4 linked regions of the Drosophila melanogaster genome follow. The protein of the gene in region 2 interacts with the protein of the main gene of each other region in a pairwise test. Each region holds a gene or a part of one and is shown on either strand. Other genes may lie near its edges. The genes, in order: CG18480, Syx6, meigo and Targ.

Region 1 (7,319 bases), on a different chromosome or scaffold from region 2:
GGCTCGCTTGCCGTTGTCGTTTTCTAATTTGATAAAGATAAAAATCATTTAGTAAACGCCCTCGACGATGTCGCCGTCAAATGTGCATGCCCCTGACAGACGGGCAGGCCAAAGGACGGACACCGAAAGCGGGACACACCCATTCCAGGACACGCTCTCGCAGCTCCTTGGATGCCGCTTAATTGAATGCTCATTTCAACGAGGTCCAGCTCCTCTGCTCTGCAACATCGCTGGGTTTAATTGCATTTTTATTTCATTTCCCAGCAATTATCGCAAGTTCGTGTGCAAATTCTATAAAGCAGAGGAGAAGAAACACGGAAAGAAAGCTTATCTACAATTAGCTCGAATTATTTAAATAGTAGTCATATTTATTGATTATGAAAATCAATTTGTTCTATAAGATAAGTTTCAACTTTAAAAACTTTTTTTCACACACAGAATAGGTTACTCCAATATATAAAAAATAAAATATACATCATTAAAACACTTTCCTAAAACGCATATTAAAATAATTATGTATCCTTCGTAAGTTATTTTCTCGCAGTGCTGAGTTCAGTAGCTTGAAGCGTTGAGTATGTCGCACCTGCAACATCCCAAAGCCAAGAGGTCAATCGTGTCATGAGTGTATCTGGGCCATGTGCAACTAGTTAGCAGCTTGTGTGAGTGTGCTAAACTGTGGTCCGGTGTCCTGCGAAACCGTAATTAAAGGTAGCCAGGACTTTTAGCCAGCTCCTTGCCAGTTCCTGCTGATATTTATTGTCGTAGCTGCGCTTTCTGCCCTCTTATTGTCAGTGCAAGTCCAAGTTCCTGCTGTTGCTGTTCCTGCGAGTTGTTAGCAAAGCAATTAGCATGAGTTTGTTATTGCAACACACGGCAAGCAGTCGGCAGAGGATAGATAGAAAGTTACAGGGGACACGGCGACCATGTCCGGCACCTCCTGAAAGTTTTACACCGAACCCAGGGGCGAAATGCGCCGCACCGAATGCCAGCAAATACGAATTTAATTTATTTACTCTGCAGCGGTAAAAGTGCTGGCAAATAGCCATGTAGCGCTTAACACTCCATAAACAAATCACAAGTAACTGAAACTTATGAAATAGAGATGTACAGACTAATGGCAGTGCAATTGGAAAGCGGAAACTTGATTTGTACTGAATTTTGGTTGGTCGGTGAAACTGGAGATATAATTGGTTTTCTTAAAAAATGGTGTGGTGCCAATTGAAAGGCGAATTATTTATAATACACATATTAAAACATATCAATCTTATCTCAAGTTATAAAGCTATGTGACCGAAAATAAATCTAACCAATCAAATAACCTTAATGTAGGTAATGCTTTGAAATGAATCGCCAAGGCAAATGACCCGACCGGTCGTAAAGGTTTGTTTTCAAAGGACACCTCACCCCTTTGATCTACTCTCAACCATTTTCCAATCAGTTTTTCTTACGCCAATTCCCTTTCATATCGAGCTCCATAGGTTTTCGAACCATGGCTTAGATTTAGTGCAACTTTCGCCTCCAGAATCCTAAAGTCTGAGCCATCTCATCACTTACTACTTTCTTTCGGGGTAACCTTCAGCACCTTTTAAGCCGCTTGCCATGTCCTTCAATGCCTCAAAAATCCCATTCAACCACCACCTCCCGGCGGAATCTGTTGCTTTGTTATCCTGGCCCTCTTATATTGCATTTTATTCACTCGATGGGGAGTTCCTACTCCGCTTGGCTGCATTTCCTTTGGGGGAAATGGGGGTTTGATTTTGGTTTGCTGCTTTTGCCACCGCCAGCTTCATCGTGGATTATGCAAAAAGTTTTTCATTAATGTTGGATTTAGATATTTTTTCACGCTCTGCAACTCTGCTTCCTCAGCCCTCCTGGTGCGAGCATTTTTTCGCCAAGCTTCCTCGATTTGGGCTCCTCATTTCCTCACAGCTCTTTTCCCAAATCCGCTTTTTTCCTGCGTTTTGGTTGTTGACAACGCAACTTTGGTCCCAGGATACGTTAACTTTTGTGCACCACAGTGTGCTGCAGCGCCGGGCTCAGTGCAATGAAAGTTGGCACCACAAAACACAGATACGTTTGGATAGATAGATAGATAGCTAGACAAACACTTAACAACAGAACCCACAAAGATGCCGCGCAGCAAATTTGCTTCACAAGTGATCTGGCAAATGGAGAATGAATTAAAGGAAAACGCACAATGATTTCGAATGCCGTTTAGTCCAGGAAAATGCTGTAAAAAGGTTTTTTTTAATGCAAAATAATATTTACAAGTTTTTCTAATTTGAATATTGACGGATTCATAACACGTCTATTCATAATAACCATTTCAAAGATATTTAAGCAATAATCAAAATTCTTTAGTTATTTCTTTTTCAACCAATTCATATAGGTAAATGTTCAATTTGATAAATTATGTTTGTAAATATTTTTTTTTATTAAATTGTATGAAGATACCTCGTAGTTCAGTGCACTGCCACATGCCGTTTTTGCCACATGATTTTTTTTTTACCCATTGCAACATAACTTGGACCTTCTTTCTTTCCCTATATATATTTATTCTTTTTCCGTATCTGGTCGGGGTTGTGTGGTTGTTTCTTTGGAGACACTTTTGCCGCTTTGCAGTGCAAATTGTTGGGTTTGTCGTTCTTTTTTTGAGTTTTATTCTTATGGCATTTTTTGTGCGGTTTTATTTTCCTTTGTGGTGTTTTCGATTTATCTGCAGGGAAGGATTGGGGGACGGGGGGCCTAAAAGGACCCATCTTCTTTCGCGTTTCAGCATTTATTTGAGTGTGTAAACTTTTGCTACTTGAATTTTTCGGGGATTTTCCTGTGGCAATTTCACAGTTGGCCATGCCCCATCCCCACATTCCCCCCAACGTTGCCAACTTTGATAGTTTTGTCAAAAGTTTTTATTGCGATTTGTTGCAGCTGCAAGTCCAAGTCTTGTAAAAGTAATGCTTATCCAAAACGAGAAGCAAAAATGCTGGAATTCCCCAATTGATATTTTTGTGTGTAAAATGAGAATGAGGAAACATTGAAGTTTTCAAGGGCATTTTGGCCGCCATGTTGTGGGCTCTCTAAAATATCGTTTGGGGGCTAAGTGCATTACATGTTGTACTTAAAATAGTAGTAGGCTAAGAAAATATTTTGAATACAAACATAATTTTATGTTGCCAATAAAAAGTGCATGAAGTAGACTTTCTTAATAAATATTTAGTAAACAGCTATGACGACTGCGATAGTTGATGTTGATTTGAAATATGACATTTTATATTTTGCCAATATAAATGATTAGACTTTAAATTTGTAATTATCTCATATAGATTTGAATAGTAAATAATTGAGGTCGAGAAGAGCGATAACTTAGATTACTTTTAGCTTATACGAATGTTTGGCTATATTAAAAAGATACTCCCTTCACTTGTTATCACAATTCTCGATGACCACCACATCGCCGTAGTTTGGAGGCGGTGTCTCCGGTCGTATCGCCCCACTTTCAATCACATCCGTGTAGAATCTGGCCGTAGAAGTTGGCGGTTCGGCGGGGGAACTCGGTTCCCGGTCGCGACTGGTGAAGAGGTTACTCCGACTAAGGCGCCTTATGAGGGTGGCCGTATTCTGATTGATGGTCCGGTAGTACTGACTGCGGGCCGGACGACCAAAGAGCCGGGACACGAAGTTGTCCTGCGGTCCGTAGGGTTGTCGAACCACGGCATGCGATTGAGTACTACGGGGACGCTGGGGATTAGAGCGCCTGGGGTTGCGCGTACGCTGTGGTGACCAGGTGTGTATAGTGGGTAGGCTATCCTGCGAAGGGTTCAGAGGAGCTGGGGGAAACAAACAAGGGAAAACTCTGTCAAATATTGGTCAATCACATAATTGGGCAGACCTACCTGAAACCCCAGTGGCCACTTCCGGGTTACTTTTCTTTTTGCGCATCTCACAGCAACTCTTGAGGCACAGGGCAAAGGTAATGATGAAGATGACCATGCAAACGCCCGTGGCACCGCCCACCACAAAGGCCAGCTTCAAATCATCCTCATCGTAGGTGTGCGTGCGTATGATTTCATCTTCCAATTGGGAGTTTCCGCCAGCCAGGAGTTCATGACTCACACGCTCCAAGCAAATGCGGTATCTTAGGCACAGTTTCTCCCGACTTCCCTCACACACATCGCTTAGCGATGACATCTGCTCGTCGTCCTGCGAGCTGTTCTGCTCCTCACTGGAGTCCAGATCCCGCCAGACGGACAGCACGGATTGGGGTCCTCGGGTGCTGGGCTCCAAGTACTCCATGCTTTCGAACTTCTCGTTTTTATTAGGAAAATTCACAGCTTCCGCATCGTCCTGGTGATCCTGAACCTCTTCTTCCATGCAGTTGCTCATGAAAATAGCCACTCCGCGCTGTCGCAATCCAGTGGCCACTTTGGCTAACGCCCGATCGCAGTTGAAGGGATTTTCCTCAACATTCAGTGACGCCAGATTGCGGGGTGCATGAAAATCTCCAGGACTCAGGGTTAACAGTAGATTCTGTGCCAAATCCAGTTGGCGCAATTGAGGCAAGGCACTCAGAAGCTGGGTTCCAAGTTGATTTACCTGCGAGTTGCGCAGATTGAGAGAGCGTAGCGATGGACTTCTTAATATAGGTCCTTTTCCCAATGTGGACAACTTGTTGCCTTCCAAATTAAGGTGGATCAGTTGGTTGTTGGATTCCAGGATATGTTCATCGATCTGCTCCAGGCGATTGTACGATAGATCCAAGTAGCGTAGTCTGGTCAACTCCACAAAGGCATCCCCATAAAGTGTGTGTATCGCGTTGTGGGCCAACGTAAGATTAAGCAGGTGGATTGTGGTCTGCAGGAAACACAATAGAGTAAAAATAATTATTTTTGGTTAAGCAGTATATGTGTCTAGGAAATCATGGAAAACAAAAACATTGGTGTCACTAATCTTTTCCATTTGATGACTTACTTTGAAGGAGTCATCGTCAATGGTGGTTATATCATTGTAGCTCAGGTCCAACAGCTCAACCGTTGTAGGTATTTCTATATTGGCGCTTATCAAGCGCTTTGCGCTGCACAAAGAAATATATATAATATAACTCAACCGAAATAATTCCCCAAATCCGATGACAACTCACCTGCATACTGCGCGATTGCGCTGGGCGTGTAGATCACAGTGGCAAACAGTGGGGCAAAACATCTGCGACTGGGTCTTGCTTCTGCAGACCTGCAGAAGAACGCAGAGCAACAGGCCTACATAGAGAAGTATCTGCTTAAGGCCCAACCACATTTTGGGTTTTGTGACACATTGCAGAGCCATAAGCTGAATACTATTCGTAACGACTGGAAGGAACCTTCTCAATTACACTTCATCGCCATTTTCGAGATGGTTGGTTTGGGAATGCTTGGTAGTTCTGGACTGACTGAGTGTTCAAAACTCGTCTCTCCACTTACTTCATGACTAACAGTTGAGCTGCTTTCCAATGGTGAGTTACCTTACATTTACTGGGTTCCGTCAAAATATTAAAGAACGAATTTCATCCGATTATGAATGTGCTCGGCTTGTGCTCTACACTTCCACTGCAGATAAGATAAGCGTTTTTTTTTATTATCTAATCAGCTGATGCGGCTATGTTCGTGTTTCGATGAAAGAGCGCCAAGTTTCGGACTTTCATTTGTTTGGAAAATGCAGAGCTATAAAATTTGGGTTAAATTAGTTGCTTGCCATTTCCTTATCATCAACTTTTTGGATACTTTTCTTGATGTTTATATATACTTATTTGTTTAATCTAAGCGATGAAATTAATCAGTTAACACGCTTGCAGAATCGAGTGTTAAATAATCTCTTATTTTAGTGCCTATAATTTCCGTAGTCAGGCCAAATGATAAAAAAAGCCGGAGCATAAGTCAATGACTGAGAATTTTATTGTATAAAACTGAAAAAAAGTCAAAAAGTTTTTAAAATTTATAGGCCTTTTTGACCTTCAAGTTTATTGCTATTTTTACAATTGAATCGGACACTTGTACATGGTATTAAGTCGTTTGACATCGGTGTCACTCATCATCAAGCGCTGTCCCATTTGCTCCTGACCCTCTGGATTCAGAGCCACAATTGTCGCTTCCCCATTTATAGAAAATGCCAAGGAACTGTAGTGTAGAATGCTTCCATAGTCATACGGCTGATCGAAATCCCCCACCTCGTCTTCTTCGTACTTGACAAAGTTCTTCTCGTGACCCTCGGAAATGTTCTCCTCCACGATCTTTACGAACTCATCTCGATTCGGGGAGCACTGCTGATGGTGGAATCCCAAAGTGTGGAGCAGTTCGTGTTGGATGGTGCCCAGCTTAAAGCAACCTGTATCCAATGAGCCAGGCTTTAGTTTGACAGTTCTTTCACCTGGCTGATAGCCCACTTTGGAGCTGCATCCTGAAGTGGACGGAAGCACAAAAAGATAGTTTTCCTCATCCTCATCAGCAGGCACAAATCGAATACAAGACGAATACTCGATGAATTGCATGCCAAGCTTTATATATTCCACATGAGGAGCATCTGAAAAGTAAAATTGTAAATAAAATTAGTTTTGGAAATTAACCATCCAATGCGTATCTTACCAAACTCCTCAGATATCCTATACGGAACTGTGGCGTTTGGCCAGCGTCGTGTCTCGGATAGCTGTCCATTCCGGGCGTAGTCCACATCCATATCACCCTGGAAGTATCCTGCAGTCAGCTCTGGATCTGTTTCATCATAATGGGTATTAAAGGGGGCTGGGAATATGCCAGAGCACAGAGTGCCCAGCAGGAACAACTGAAACCAGACACGAATCATTTTTGACTGAATTAAATCGAATTAACGGCTAATGTAGTGCTAATTATCGCAAAATTATTAAGAACTACTTGTGATTGATTAGCGATAAGATACCTCGTTATATAAAATACAGCAAAAATGCGAATTTTCCCAGAAAACGGTGGGTGCCTGAAGCACTTCCAAAAGCTGTTCGTAAGCTTATAAAAAAATTGGTGATCTGGTTCTTAATAACTTGCTGGGCAGCTCACTGCCAAAAAAAAAAAAAAATCAAGTCATATCATATGTATTTATATGGACGAATAGTCTTGCATATGATCTGGATTACATCACTTAATCAAAAATATACATTATTAATTTACTTTTATTGTATTTATATGTTTTGTAAAACAATTGTTTGCTTACTAAAACCCAAGAAATGTTTGGGACTACAAGTACAATGTTTCAAGGCGACAATTTGTATGCCTGTGGGGAAAAGAATTAGATGCCCTTAAGGAGATGTCTGAGTTTTCTCC
Region 2 (4,837 bases):
CTGAATGCCGAAACCCGAAAAACATCACATGGAAACGTGCCGCTCTGCCCGTGTGCTTATGCTGTGACCCAGTGGCGTAGTCCGGATTCCCCGTAGGGGTTATGTTTCAAGCCTTTCGAAGATACCCCTTTGGTTGCGCCACTGTGCGCAGACTGTAAGCTCGCCAAAAAGCTCCGGGCAAAAGCATGCAACACAGCTGAGTGAGTGGGCAAATCGAGTGGGCTGTCGAGTGGTTTTGGGGCGCAGAGAGAACATGAGAAGGGGCCTGATACCCTCTCCTTGTGCACAGAGAAAAATTTGGTATTAAATACCATTTTCCAAATCATTGATCTATCAGAAGATAACATCTTGACTAATCCTACTATCCTTAAAAACATTAAAAAATTTGAAAGCTTGTATTTCCAATTTTTGTTTAATTTAGGCTTTCAAAATAGCGAACAAATTTTTGTATATGTATACAATTTCTCTCTGTGCACTCATACAGTATTTCTAGGTGACCCGTAAGAAGTACCTCATTTGGCTTTAAATTAGGAATTTAATTTATAAGTATATATATTTACTCAATTGCATACAAGTTTTTGCTAGATTTGGTTAGTGAAATTTCCTAAGACTCTTCGTTAAATAACTCGTTTGATATTGGTAGGTCCATTTTGTTTGTATGTATATATATGCAGATATATCCTTCGATGTATATACAGCTTACAGTTGCAGTATCCTTTGGCCAAATTGGGAATGACAGAACTCTGGAGCACTTGGTTTATATGTAAGTAGTTAGTTATCTTTTATTACCCGCCTACATTGACTTTACATGATCATTTGTCCGTAGCTTTGGAATTACATTATATATATATAGAGAGAGGCGGCTGGTAATAAATCAGGTTAAAATGTTTCCGTGTATATACAGCAAGGGAGTTTACATGGAATTGTAATTAAGAGCCCGAATTCAAAAGCAAGCTAAGTCATAAATAAATCTAATTTACACTAAATATAAACGATTTGGGAACAACGAAAGCAATTACAAAATAATAAACAAAATTATCACAAACAATAACAGTCCGGATAGGATGAGAATGGCGGCCCACTGTCGTTTATCTGTGAAAGAAGATGGATACAGTTAAGAATTAGGAATCAGAAGTCACAAAAGTATTCAATGGGTAATTTTGATTGTGGTTCACTGAAGCATTTACTCTTCATTAATATTTCAATCAAAATAGTCCTTGAATACCACAAGTGCCGCACCACTCACCATTATTCATGTGCAAGACTTTGGCAACTTTCTTCATGGTCGTATCCAACTTGGACTCCGTGGTATCGAACTCGTTCCCAAAGTCGTCTAGCATGACGGCCTGCTCATCGAGCTCAACGCCAATTTGCCGCGAGACCGTCTTGAGGGTACCAATCGAATCGCTGATCATGTCTAGCTGCTCATCCTGTCCCTGGATCATACGCTGCTGTATGGACACTGTTTCGCCCACGTACCTATGACTCGGACTGTCCATGCCGCCGTGATGCGTCTGCCCATAGTGACTGGGACTGTCCAGGGCGTTCTCCAGCTTGGAGTACTTGGTGCCGCTGTGGCGGGATGCTGCTGCCGCTGCCGCCGACATGGTCCCAGCTATGGTATTGGCCACCTGACTGCCGCTATTGATCAGCGAGTTGCCGTTGGGACACTCCACGAGGTACGTGCGATCGTTGTGTGGATGCTGATGGTACTCGTTGGAGTTGGAATTCGAATTGGGTATGGCAATGGAATGATTGTGATTGGGGCTGTGGCGATCGTTGTCGAGCAGCGGCTGGTGTGCGGTGATGTCTCTGTCCCGGCTCCGGTTCAGGCTCATCTTATCCTTCATCTGCTTGACCTCATCGCGAGTGTTGTCGATGAAGTGGCGCCGGCTGGAGAGTTCGCGGTTGTCGATCCGAAACTTGCTTGGATTCTTCTCAACGATGCGTGTGAGTCAAAATGGTATGGGTTAAGGAGAAAACCGAGGAGACTGATGAGCTAGAAAGTCGGTTCTACCGACCTTAAGATACCAAGTACTCTTTTTTTACAATTATAGTGCCAAAAAAACAAGTTCTGTACAGTTTATTAGTATAATACTAATAAACGAGCGAATTAAATCACGAATAAATTGCATATTCAGCAATTTTAAATGGGATCTCAACCTCTTTATGCGAAAATAAAACAGACAATGCAATTCGATAAATGAGTACCAGGTAACGAATTGATTTTTCAATGGTCTTTGCAAAAGGATATTGATAGTGTCCTCGAGGTCCTCGAGATCCCACTCGATGCTCCGTAGCGAGTTACGCAGCTCGGTGGTGGTCCATTCAGCCTCCGTTCCGCCGTTCTCGCCCAGCTCCCGCCAACGCAGATAGAGGCCGCGGGTTTTGTTCAGAGCTTTGAATACCTCGCTGTTGGGGAAGGGGAGGGAAATGAAAGAAAAAACAGAGATATAAGTAAGATAGCACTTTCCACCAGCAGTGCATGTGGCCATCTGCCAAATCGGGGACACCTACTCCTTGACCACGAAAAACGGATCCTCCAGAGACATGCCGCGTTCTCTTCTTGCCACAAAACGAAAACTAACACTCCTAGCAGTTTTTCACCAGCGTGGCGCACTTGACGGTTCTTTTCATGGATTTTTCCGGGCGAAAACCACCCCCCAAAGGTACAAGGGGGCAAATTGCAAGTTGGCAATAGCAAAAGCACTTCGTGGGAGTTACATCAAAAGGCAAGCAAATGGGGAGCAAATTTTTGCTTTCAATCCGTTCTATATAGCAGGAATTTCACAATCGACTGGGTTTTATCTTTCGCCTAGCAGCGATGTTTGAACAGCACGTTTATTGATTATTGCACTTGGACCCGCTCCGCCGCTTATCGCTCGATTTCTTGTGGATTCCGCCGACTTAGCTGGTTCCACCGATGGCCCAGAGAACACTGTCGCTATTTGCGCTCCAGAGATTAAGCCCCCACCGAGAACCACTACCCCACTGGCATTTGTTTACGCCGCTCCCGCTCCAGCGGCTGCGCACTTTGGTTCCTTGATTACCAACCCCTTGACTAACCGATTTGAAAACAACCCGAATTTTGGCCAAAAAATTCCACAACAACAAATCGTCGGCCAAATGGCCAGCACTGTTGCAATTTTCATCGCTCGCTCACCTGCTGCTCGTCTCCACGTCATTTAGCAAACTTCGGTCCGAGAACACGGTGACGGACTTTAATTTCAAGTTCACACGAGACAAATTCTGATAAATAAATTTAAGTAAAGGTTTTATTTCTGTTTTGCTGCTAGCAAAATAAACCGTAAGGCTTAGTATGACCCAAGTGCGATAGCACGTTTATCCCGCGATAATTTAGTATATATCGCAAGTGCAGAAAATACGTTACTAAACAGTTTGAATCAGGTGGCAGCTCTGGATTTGAATATATATTTATCCACATTCAGCTTGAGCAGCATAAACGAATATTTTGAAAACCTGCAACATTCGCATGAATTAAAGTTTACAAAATAGCACTATAAATAAGCTATTATTACTATTTCACATGAGAACGTTCGTAATAGAGTATTAAAATCATCTGAGTCAGGAAGTGTGACCAGGCGAGGGGCACAAAGCACTTAACTTCCGTTGTGCTACTGCCCCACTGACCACCGTTATCAATTTCATTTAGACCGCCGTCAAATAAGTTTGAAAAGTGCTGGCGAAATGTTGCAAAACAACGCGGTGCGCACTTTGCAATACGACAGTGAGATCCGTGTGGCCCAGCAGCCAAGTCTCTCAGAACCGAGAGGTAATTTAGGGCATATGGCTTTAGAAAACGAATAAAAACAGCGAGTGAATCACCCTGGCAAAAGGGTAACCGAATTGTTACCAACTGATAAGCAGTGCACCGGATTAATTATTGTTGCGAGCGAGTGTGTCACACAGTTCGACGCAAAAATGCGGCCACAAGTTGGCTATATCTTATCGGCCAGCGTTTTGTTATGGTCTGCGACTCCTCAAGTGCCTTTGTTTGGGACGATCGAACCCAGCGATCAATCCGATAGTAAAACCGTACCCATGATATTAGCTGTATCCTATACCAACATTTTCCTATTCCAAGAAAAGTAATAAAATATTTATGTGACAAGATTATGAAAAAATCGAAAAACTACTAAAGTTTTAATCTAAACGATTTGTTATAACCACAAAATATTTTCAATAATATTGCTATTACTCAGAGCTATTATTAGCAGAATGTTCAACAACCATTTTTATTTAATTCAAATTCACTGTAAAATTATGATCTTAAAACTACAACTTTAAATGAAATTTAAATTTAATTAAAATATTAAAAACTTTCAAAATTCAATCTATGGAAAAGTTTGTAATACCCTAAAGATATGGAAAAGGTTTATAAAATCTTAGTTCAAAGATAACAATATGGACAACCTTACGATTCTGCTCGTATTGGAAAATGGTCTATATACGATTTGTTTGTTTTTCTTCAGTTTATGACTCCCATATCAGCATTACCTCACAACCCAGGCCGGAGGCTCCACGCATCCCGCTGCCAGTGCCAATTGCCACGGTTACGGGAAGCCGGACGCTTATCCCACTTTCCGGATACGATTGCCTAGCAGATCTGCCGTCCGTACATATTGAACAGACCTTTGAGCTTAACGATGGTAAGTACAAGCCCAAAAATTAGCTAAAATCGCTTCTAATAGTTCGTCTTCCCTTTGCAGCCCTAACAGGCGTCTCCTCGGAGAATCGATATGTGGTGCGATCTCCACTGGGTGATGCCATTTTCGCGGCCAACGAGAGTTCCACAGAAAAAAATCGACTACTTTGG
Region 3 (4,538 bases), on a different chromosome or scaffold from region 2:
TTCCGTTCCGTTCCGAAACTCGAAACATGCGTTCTTTTATTTTTCGGAAATTTTCGTCCCGATTAGTTTATTGTATAATTAGCATTGCGCACACTGGATTTATACATTTTAAAAACATTCTGAAAATTTCGACCGTATCTGCAACGGCTACGGCAATAAACTAGAGTTGCCAGGGTCGGCAAAGTGATCCTATCGATTGTTGCCAATTGATTCGTCGCGGTATCGATACAACTAATTTGTGTAGTCTTTTTTTCATATTATTACGGTTTATATAGTAGCTAACACAATATTAAATCTTATTTCAGTATAACACGAAATTGATATTTTATCTTGGAACTCGAGTTTCATAGCATCTTACTTTTGCCTATGAACGTAGTTCACATTTCGTGTAAGGTGGCAGCTCTGATTTAAGCGCTTTAAATTCAAGTTAAAGAAAATACAAAAAAAAATGGGAAAATATTTATTAAACTGAGCCAGAAAATAAGTTGCCTTTGTTAGGCCTTCTTAGTAACGTTCCATATAAATAATACAACCATTAATAAAAGAGCACGTTTTAATTATAAATTGTAGCATTAAATGATTGAATGATCCTGTATGTTAGAGACCCGCAGGTCTGGTGTAAACTTTTGCACAATATTTGTTCCTTTTCTAATAGATATCAATAATTTAATTAACTTAAACGACGGTCTATGGGTTGCAGATCAAGTATCGAATGCTGTGTTCGCTATAGCTAGAATCCTTTGTACGATAAGCAGTTCTAGGAAATGGGGAAACTTTGGCGCTGCAGCCGCTCGAGCCGGAAGCATTGTCTTCTTAATTTGTGTATGTACAGTACATAGGGCTATGCAATCATCTATCAAATTCTACGAATTCAGTTTCTTTTCCTCGGATAGCTTTCCCTCGACTGGCGGCTTTTTGGCCGTAGCCAGTGGCGCCTTCTTGCCGTACAGCATGTCCACAAAGAGTGCGGCGAACACCAGGACAGCTCCAAGCCACTGGCGGGCAATCAGGACGTTTCCGAACAGCAGAACGGAGCACAGGACGGTAAAGAACTTTCGCGTCGTCGTAACCACGGAGCAGGCCAGAGGTCCAAAGCTGGCCACCATCAGAAAGATGAAGAACTGACCGAGCACGCCGCACACAGCTATCAGCGATAAATGGGTCCACGCCTCGGGATGTCGGATGGTGAAGTACATGAATTCCTTGGCCTCACCTGAAGATTTTTTTTATAGTTTTTCAGAACATTTATAAAAACGTATGGGGCTTACATAAAAAGGTCTTAGCCAATATTTTTAGCTCAAATAAAGTGTTTTTAACACTCACCTGTAAATACCATGGCAACGCCAAGCATCAGGGTGCTCCAGAAGTTCATGGCCCTCATCATCTGCTGACCGGAAGGCGCGCTGGCCGCTCGGATGCGTTCCTGAACGGCTCCAGTCAATCCGTCCATTGACAAACTGAGGAAGAGCAGCACCTCGCCGAGAAGCGTGGTCTCAGCCGGCAAATTGGACACCTTGCCCTCCTTGTACATAAAGAGAATAACTCCCAGGACAATGGTCAATACGCAAGCATAGCGCGTCCAGCTGTAGGATTTGCGACCAATCAGCACGCCCAGGATCATGACGGGGATGGGCTTGGCGGATTTACCCACCACAGCAGTGGGATAGGGAACCCAGCGCATGGCCATATTGGTGGAGACCATGGCCAGAAGATAGGTCAGCGAACAGGCCACGTAGGAGCCCGCGTTGGTGGTGTCCTCCTTTTGCGGCCTAATGGTCAGCAGCACTGGAAGACCACAGATCAGAATTGATTCGTTACAAGTCCACGTAATCCTTACCCTTGGCAAACACATAGTTGCAGAGGCACTGCACCCAAACAAGGGCCAAGGCGTAAGTGAAGCGCTCTCCCACGGATCCATCTGTCTGTACCTCCTCGCCGTAGCGGCCCCGCGTCAACTTCTCCTGGACAATTCCGTACAAGAAGTAGCATACGAAGATACCGACGGCGTAGATCACAAAACGGCTGCGTTCCGGCAGATTCATGGCGGGCAGATGACGGTTTTTAAAGCGTGTGACTTGCGAATTGGTTAAGTCGGACTTAATGCACGATCCTAAACAGTTGGCATTCTCTGGAGTCGCGGCTGCAGTGCCGTGATTTGGCGTTGACTATCAAATAATCCAATCAAATACGTGGTCGGTGCTGCCGCTTTAGCTGGCTACTAGCCAGATTAGATTAAGTGATTGCAAGCACCTGTATTTTTGGCCATTTTTTAGGTGCACTGTTATAGCTATGTTCTTCTTTTGAATCATCAATTTCATCATCTTATTTAATAAGTTTAAATCATAACTCTTTATAAATGAAAAATAGGGCATACATAAAACACTATAAATGTAATAATTGATAAATCAACTAACTAGCTATTTATTGAAAGCAAGAGTTGGCAACACTGCATTTGCTAAAGAGCGGGGGCGTTTTACAGTGTGACCGTTAGTTGGAAGTGAATATATTTACTTATCGGATATCTCGAATTGAACTTTTCGGCGCGAAAATTAGCTGAATTTTTCTTTGCAATGGTAAAATAACTTTCACCCCCTTTTTTATATTATTTGTTGAGTGTAAAATACCCGCTCTCCCCAATTTGTTTTCTAAAAACCCTACGCATGATTCTTTCAAAGAAATTCTTTGTATCAGAAATTGAATTTCGTTTATTTGGTTTTAAAATATATTTGCAAAATACAATAAACTATAGTCCCGCATACACAGGCGTATATGCGGGCTTCTCTTTGTTACACTGGTAATGCACTTGAAGTTCTTGGTTTTAGTGAATGCAGCCTGCACCCATTGAAAATACGCCCACGCGTAATACTGTTCTAAGAGCCTAGACAACAACAAACAAGCGATTATCCTCTTAAATAGCAGTTAACAGTTAAGCGGTAATTTGTAAATGATAAAAGGGTGTGGCGACTAGACCTTAAAAGCTATAATATGAGAGAAAAACAAAAAACAATTAAAACGAAAGGGGTAAAAACCGAAAGGAAACCGAGCGAAGCGTCTACAGAGGCACCTGCATGGGTGGCAGCCAGGTGTAGAAAAGAATGTATGCAGCGCTAGAAACCACGTTAGAGGAGTCCAACGCCGAGACGACCTGATCGTCGAACTTGAACCATTTTCCGTAGTTGGCGCTCTTGCAAAATGCCGTGTAGTGCCCGCCTTCCATGGTGCCGTAGTGATTGGATACGGCGTACAGCTGGTAGGTCTTAGGTGTTACCGCCCGCGATTCCGCCCGTGCTATGTAGGGATTCATGTCCAAGTTCTCGAGCGGGAAGCGCAAGTAGTTCTGCTTCTTCATGTACGAGCCAGAGTTACTGGGATCCGCATAGAAGCTATGCGGGATTTAAGAAATTATAAACAAGCATAGCATAGTGTTAGCATCACTTACCGCTTAAGATGCACCACCAGCACAGGTGGCAGCTTCGATATATCCAGCTTCTTGATGGCATCTCTTTTCGTTTTACAACTAGGACAATTCCAGCCATGGATCCTTTCTCCACTGAAGTACATGTCCATGCACTGGTTCAGCTGACATACATTCGAGTTTGGCGGCAGCTCCAGGCTGAGATTAGAAAAACTCTCGTACGTGGCGGACTCCTTGTGGCAGGCCACACATTTCACAGTGCTCTTCATTTGGCCATAGAATAAATGCAGAATCATGCTCTCCTTCGCCTTGGTAAATTCCAGCCAAGCCTTTTCCGACGCACTGATCATCTCCCGCTGACGGGGCACATGTAGGGTCTGGAGATCCGAGTGCAGCCAGTCCATCAGGATGGTGAGGAATTCGTGTGAGTCCTGCTGGTCAACGCCGCGGAAGATCTTCTGGTACTGGCCCACAACGTACTGCAATGAAGTATGTTTAGTTTAGAAAGAAATTTGGGTGTTTTTTTTTTTTCAGTTGCATACCCTCAAATCTCGGCTGGCCACACACTTGTACTGTCCATTCCAGAGCTCCTTGATGAGTGCAGCCACCTCTTCGATCACCTGGCCATTAGTCTTGTTGCTTCTGCTGATGTAATTCTTGTATTTGTCCGAAATGCAGTACTCGGTCAACTGAGGCGTGTTGCTCAGGCACTGCAGTATGCTGTTCATATAGCAGGTGTTGCCCAGATTCTTCAGTCCAGTCAGTCCACGACCCTGAAATGTTATCCAAGGATATAGTTAACTATTCGGAGATAGAGGAAAATAAAATCTATAGCTATTACTCGTCTCAGCGGAAAGATGGAGCTATAAATGCTGTAGGTGGGCGGAGCTGTTGGCAGCTGGAGCCTCACGCCCGCTACACAAATCATTCGCGGAATCCTGTATAATGCTATTCCTGCTTAACAGTATGGCAATTGTACGTTTCTTTGGTTTGAACATGCTTTGAGTGCGGACGTCGAGCGACTGAGAGTGGGGGTAGAAAGCGCACCAAGAACGGCGCACGTCTGGGCGGGTGTCTTCAAAACGTGACCCGCTGGCTATTGATTTGACTCGTGTCGCGGCTA
Region 4 (5,643 bases), 3.4 Mb from region 2:
ATTGGCGCACCTATCGTCCGAGTGGGCAAAGCGTCGGTCGACCTGTGACAGAGCCAGAAATTGTGACTTCACTAGTCCCTTCACCTCATTAAGAAGCTGCGGGCGAAGTATTGATGAACTTTTGGCCAGAAACATAACTAAACGGAGGTTTTGGATTGGAACCGGTGCTGTGGCAGGTTGAGAGACACGAAATTTTGGTCTGTACAGGCGAACGCTCTGCTTTGATCTGGCTAACACCAAGGTGCTGAACCAATAGTTGGCAAGAAATCTAGTCCAAGGCCGCCATGATGGGATCTATTTTATTTACATTTCAACAGCTACTTCTCTATGGATTCCAGATTTAAGTGTGTAATTCCTCGAATACTGTCGCGAATTGAGCCTTTTCCGGGCCACGGACCAAATGGGTTTTCCTTGTTTGTTCTGCAGTTAATTGCGAATGGATTCGATGCCAGCGAATTTGCAATGTCCAGCTGCCTTGATTTGCAGGCAAATAACAATAAAGAAAAAATAGGCAACGCAACCTTCACTTTACGAATTTTTGCCCCAGCTTGTTTGCAAGTTAAATGCAAACAGAGTGCAGCCAGCCAAACGACAAAGCCCAACAAAAAAAAAAAAAAATAAAACAGAACGAAAAATATACATACAAAGCTGACCCCCTGCGAAAAAAAAAACAACAGAAGTCCACTAGAATAAGTATACGCCGCGTTGGTCGCCGCTCGCTGCTTGCTGTTCTCGGGGCAGTTTTCGCTTTTACGCCGCTATTTTCATTGGAGTCACTGCCGTCCGAGAGTGGCCATGCATGAGGGCTCCCATAAAATTGGGTCAATTGCTGTTAACAATTTGGCAGCGCAATCTTTTGGCCGTTTCGATTTCAAGGCGCTCAGGGGAAAAAAAATCGAAAAATAGGAAAACACAACGTGGGCCATAAAAAACGAGCACGTACGAGCGAACCTTTTGGAAAAAAACAATTTCCGCATAGAGTTGTTGGCCAGGAAAAATAGCCGCTGCAATCGGTGCTCCCCCGCGGGAGAACAGGAAAAATCCAGGGGGGGGGGAAGGTGTAGATGAAGCTGAAGTGGCTGGTCGAAAAGTTTGCTGGCCTTTACGCTAATTAATTAGTGCACTTTGTTTGTAATTCATTTTGCAAAAGCAGGGCTGGCTTAGTTAAAGTTTCCAGGGGCGAGGTTTGTTTCATAAAGCATGGACCGACTGCCTCCAATTCAAGAGCCCGGGCATCACTTTCCATTTAATCAACTGGGGAAACAGTCGACCCCAATACTTCAGCTCTTGTTGCCTTTGAGTGACTGCCAATGAAGTTACTGCCCCTAAAGCTGAGATGCACTTTAGCCGCTCCACTCCAATCGCTCCGCTCTCCGTGCAAAACTCAGACGACTAAGGAATGATTTCATTTACTTACAATCAATGAAATTGCACTGATGCAATTTTGTTTCGGCCCCAAAATAAACAGGCAAGCGGGTGGAACGGAGCTGGGATCGGGTTGTGGCAATAGGGATTCGCCAGGCAAAAGAAGATGGCGATGGCGAGGCGATGGCTAAAAAGTAACAGTTGCAGTGGGGCAATTGCGGAGGAGGAGCAACTGGGGGTCACCAACAAGCAACTACCAACCAACTCCGTTTGTCACGCTCGCCTGGCAGCCATGACAGCATTTGGTAGCCAGGAGCAGCTAATGTCTGGCGACAGTTCCCGAATCCCACGAATCCCCATGAATTCCCGTTCCTGTTGCTGGGGCTTCTCATCTTGCAGCCAGACACGTAGCCAGCCACTGTGCATTGGGTTCGGGTCGAGACGCAGAGAGATTTGTGAAAGATGTCAGGAACACTCTGCGACAGAGTCGAAAAATGAGCAGGAATCGTAGGCGAAGGTGACTGAGTCTGTTCGCCCAGCAAAGCACTCAACTCGACCAAATCCCTCTGTTTTTCAGCTTCCCCAGCAGCCAATATGAAGATAAGACCGCCGCTGCACAGCCAAGTGGAAGTAGCTTGAGATCCCAATCTCTGTCCAGGCTGGACATCTCGGTTCAAAACTCATCCATCTATTACAATGATACGCGAAACACGCGACCACAAATGGTCAGTGTGGCCGTCGGCACAGTTTCAACGGATATCCTGAATGGGCGCACATCATTCTTGTCCCTTAGTCAGTCTCACGGGAGTGAAGTGGATTTGCCTTCGTTCTACGAAAGCTTTAATCCAACTTTTCTTCCCAAGCTGCCTATCAGAAGATTTCCCCATATGCTTGTGGGGGCATCAAATGAGCCTGAGATTTCGAAAAACCAGCCAGCAATTCCACCATCTAGGCCAATTGAGCCAATATCTGAGGTGCCGTTTGTGGAACCGGCCTTTGAGAAAAAATACTCTAGGACCCGTGGATTTAGCAAGGAATTGTCCACACACAGGGATAATGAGAATGAATATATCGAGAGCACAGATGAGGTGTCTCAGATGTTGAGCTTTACTAGCTATACGGATGAATATGATAGGGCAGAACCACTCATTACCAAAACGCAAAAGTTTTATAAAAAGAGTAAGTTATCATAGCGCTGCCTTCCTTTTTACAAAAATGTTTTTTTTTTTATTTTTATTTTATTGTCATGCAATTGAATTTTGTCTAAGCTATTTTTGGCCATTTGCTTGAAATTGAGGAACCTACCAAATGCATTTCTTGTAGCTAAAACTGTAGCCTTCTTACAGGATCCCCCTTGATTCCCAAATACGATTCCGAGGATTCATATGTGGTCCCTAAGGAAACCGATCAACAGGAATCGGGTCTCTCGTTCAATGTAACTACAGTACAGTTGGCCGATACCGCATCGCCGGAATCTTTCAGCGAATACGACGGAAATCGAACGCGCAAGCAATCGTTCGACATGGAAAGTAAAAATTCGAAGGAGTCCTTTGACTTTAGCCGTGGTGGAAGACGACTTGGCTCCGGTATGGTTTTTGTAAGTGAGTGAATAGCATTCTTGTGGTGGTGAATTGAGAAACGAATGACGACTCTTGTCATCCACAGATCTATATGGTGATACCACCGGACGGCGGATTCGGTTGGGTAATCATGGTGCTGTCCTTCCTCGCCCAGCTGATAATCGATGGTTTAATTTTTACCATTGGGGTCTTATTGCCATCCATTGCCCAGGATCTGGATGTCTCCATATCGTCGGTATCGTTTGTGGCCAGTGTCCAGATTGGTTGCTACTTCACTAGCGGAGCGTTTTCTGCTGTCCTGATAAATCGTTTTGGTTTCCGAAAGGTAGCCATCGCTGGGGTCCTGTGTTCCGCAGTTTCAATACTGGCGTCCAGTTGGAGCGTCAGCTTGACCATGCTGATCTTCTTTTACAGCGTCCTTGGTAGGTTGATTCTAGATTGCTGTACGATATTCGATGAATAATAGTACTAGCCTGCGCAGGTGGTATTACGTTGAGCATGATCTGGGCAAGTTCGCAGCTGATTGTTGGCTACTACTTTGAGCGGTACCGTCCGATGGCCAATGGATTTTCCTGCAGCGGTGGCGGTGCGGGCATAGTACTCTTCACGTTCCTCAACAGCTGGCTGGTGCCAATCATCGGATGGAGGAACATGCTGCGGACGCAGGCGGGGCTGATAATGTTGATCCTGTTGATGGTGGTCGCCTATGTGGAGGTGGCTCCCACCCAGGTGGGCATGTACCATTTACCCGGTTCTTCGGATACCAGTTCGGATGAGTATTACGGCAACTTCTACGTGCATGACTATTTACGTCAATCCGCGATGACTGCTAAAAGCCGGAGTATCCTAAGTACATATGAGCCACGCCCAAAAAAGAAAGGATGCGCCAAGTTCTGCCCCTCCTGTTCGAACTGTTGTTGGAGGCGGCGGAAGAAGTCGCAAAATGCTGATGAGCAGAATCTGCTCATCCGCCCGGCGCCCCTGGAGCGGGAGGATCTCTTCTATACGGGTCCTGCCGAATACGAAAAGCCGCACAGCAAGGAGAACGTCGACGGCAAGGAGTTCCTACTAATGGGATCGGATAAGAACGTAAGTGTTGTATTAAGAATAAATTCGCTTCAACTTAAGAACACCACCAACTTTCACTTAGACCCAGCAAGTGAACTATGGCATCAAGAACATTCGTGTGGATGATGAACCCGATAGGATTTCTAGAGTTCATAGGGAACGAAGATGGTCAAACGAGAATCAGAAAAAGCAAAATTCCTGTAGGAATAGCCGGTTTATGCTCACTGTGCTCAAACTATTCGACTACCGCCTGCTGAAACAGTTTGAGTTCAAGATTCTGGTGGCGTCCGCCTTTCTGTTCCCGATGGGCTTTAATATACCCTTTGTTTACTCGTCTGCACGAACCACGATCCCCGTCGAATATGCCCGTATGATCGGCCCCATTATCGGAATTAGTAATCTTGTGATGAGAAACATCCTTGGCATCCTCGCTTACAAAAGGCGTAGTTGGACCCTCGGACTTTGTGGTTGTGGTCTAATTTTCGGTGGTGTTTCCGTTTTGATTAGCGCCTTCTATGGAGAGAACTTGATTTGGTTCCAGTTTCTGTATGGCTTCTCCTATGCTGTAGCGCCTGGTGCGTACATTTACTTACCTTACTTAAGTTTACAATATTACCCTCTCTCATTTCCATGGAATAGCTGTTTATTCCACACTGAGAGGTTTGATATACGTGAAATACCTGGGACTTTCAAAACTGACCAACGCTTTTGGGATTACCTCATTGGCCATGGGAATGGGCGCCTTTATTGGGACTACAATTGCTGGTAAATTGATAGGCATCACGGGAAACTATTCTGCTGCCTTTTGCTTTGCGGGATTATGTCTCATAGTGTCCGGATTTCTGAAGCTTCTGCTGCCCTTGCTTATTAAATGTCGCAACAGGATGGCCCAATGAGGAATTGGACTATTGGAATTGCAATATTTATTGGTTCTCCTGCTTGGAACTTGGGATTGTCTTACAACTAATAGCTTAGGCATTTTTATGACTTTTTTTTACTGGTCCTCGTTCCAAATTCTGAGTAAATGTTTGTATATCCATGTAATTGTTAATTGACCGATGTCATTAACTATTACTTCCTCCTTATTACAGATTTATTTTCAATATAATTTCAATTCAAGTGAGTTCTTTTTGGGGTTGACTTTTATTGCAATCCATTTTAAGTTATTAGTTAGCTTAGTTTACATCTAATATTAGCTTAGTTGCTGAACAACACACTTTGGCTCCACGCTTATAGGTTCAAGTGTGCTGTGTTTGGTTTTTCATTTGGTTTTGTTTCCATTTTTCCTTGTTTGGGTATGCAAATTTTCACGCTTCTTGTTTACTTTGATTTGCTTTCTAAACTTTGTACGTCTACTGTTCAATGTTTTGTTTTTTTTTTCTTCATTTTTTATATTTTATGATGATTTTTTTACATATTATTTAGAGCTAAAGCAACGAAAAAAAAAATATAAATCAATGTGAACACATAAACATAAGAATGTTTGAATCGACATCCGCAGGACGAATGACTCCAATCCTCTGTGTCCTGTGTCTAAATCTTTCTTGTGTTTTTTAATATTGTCAGTAGTCTTCCCCATCGTCGCCTCTAATTTAATCCATTTTTAATTGAAGTCTCTGCCGTCTGCGTT

What was found.
Region 1: the proteins of Syx6 (region 2) and CG18480 interact in a two-hybrid assay, tested with the Drosophila melanogaster proteins (one large-scale study listed by BioGRID).
Region 3: the proteins of Syx6 (region 2) and meigo interact in a two-hybrid assay, tested with the Drosophila melanogaster proteins (one large-scale study listed by BioGRID).
Region 4: the proteins of Syx6 (region 2) and Targ interact in a two-hybrid assay, tested with the Drosophila melanogaster proteins (one large-scale study listed by BioGRID).

What each region holds. Positions count from the first base shown.
Region 1 is NT_033779.5:15,628,193-15,635,511, reverse strand, and holds CG18480 (uncharacterized protein), read right to left. Parts: upstream 5,430-7,319; 5' UTR 5,320-5,429; coding exon 5,138-5,319; intron 5,072-5,137; coding exon 4,969-5,071; intron 4,852-4,968; coding exon 3,894-4,851; intron 3,828-3,893; coding exon 3,418-3,827; 3' UTR 525-3,417; downstream 1-524. Other genes in the region: CG7631 (uncharacterized protein), read right to left, coding at 6,002-6,549, 6,612-6,828.
Region 2 is NT_033778.4:11,218,039-11,222,875, reverse strand, and holds Syx6 (syntaxin 6), read right to left. Parts: upstream 2,943-4,837; 5' UTR 2,553-2,942; coding exon of another isoform or gene 2,518-2,552; 5' UTR 2,496-2,517; coding exon 2,255-2,495; intron 1,949-2,254; coding exon 1,247-1,948; intron 1,093-1,246; coding exon 1,016-1,092; 3' UTR 538-1,015; downstream 1-537. Other genes in the region: CG9084 (uncharacterized protein), read left to right, coding at 3,709-3,793, 4,494-4,670, 4,713-4,837.
Region 3 is NT_033777.3:21,136,365-21,140,902, reverse strand, and holds meigo (medial glomeruli), read right to left. Parts: upstream 2,634-4,538; 5' UTR 2,415-2,633; intron 2,349-2,414; 5' UTR 2,043-2,348; coding exon 1,838-2,042; intron 1,786-1,837; coding exon 1,324-1,785; intron 1,214-1,323; coding exon 864-1,213; 3' UTR 538-863; downstream 1-537. Other genes in the region: Usp8 (ubiquitin specific protease 8), read right to left, coding at 3,053-3,383, 3,440-3,894, 3,958-4,188. UniProt on the Drosophila melanogaster protein: Probable sugar transporter.
Region 4 is NT_033778.4:14,666,557-14,672,199, forward strand, and holds Targ (tarag), read left to right. Parts: upstream 1-1,834; 5' UTR 1,835-1,859; coding exon 1,860-1,882; intron 1,883-1,891; exon of another isoform or gene 1,892-1,942; coding exon 1,943-2,544; intron 2,545-2,711; coding exon 2,712-2,962; coding exon of another isoform or gene 2,963-2,966; intron 2,967-3,030; coding exon 3,031-3,367; intron 3,368-3,417; coding exon 3,418-4,034; intron 4,035-4,095; coding exon 4,096-4,588; intron 4,589-4,652; coding exon 4,653-4,909; 3' UTR 4,910-5,119; downstream 5,120-5,643. Other genes in the region: CG12860 (uncharacterized protein), read right to left, coding at 1-135.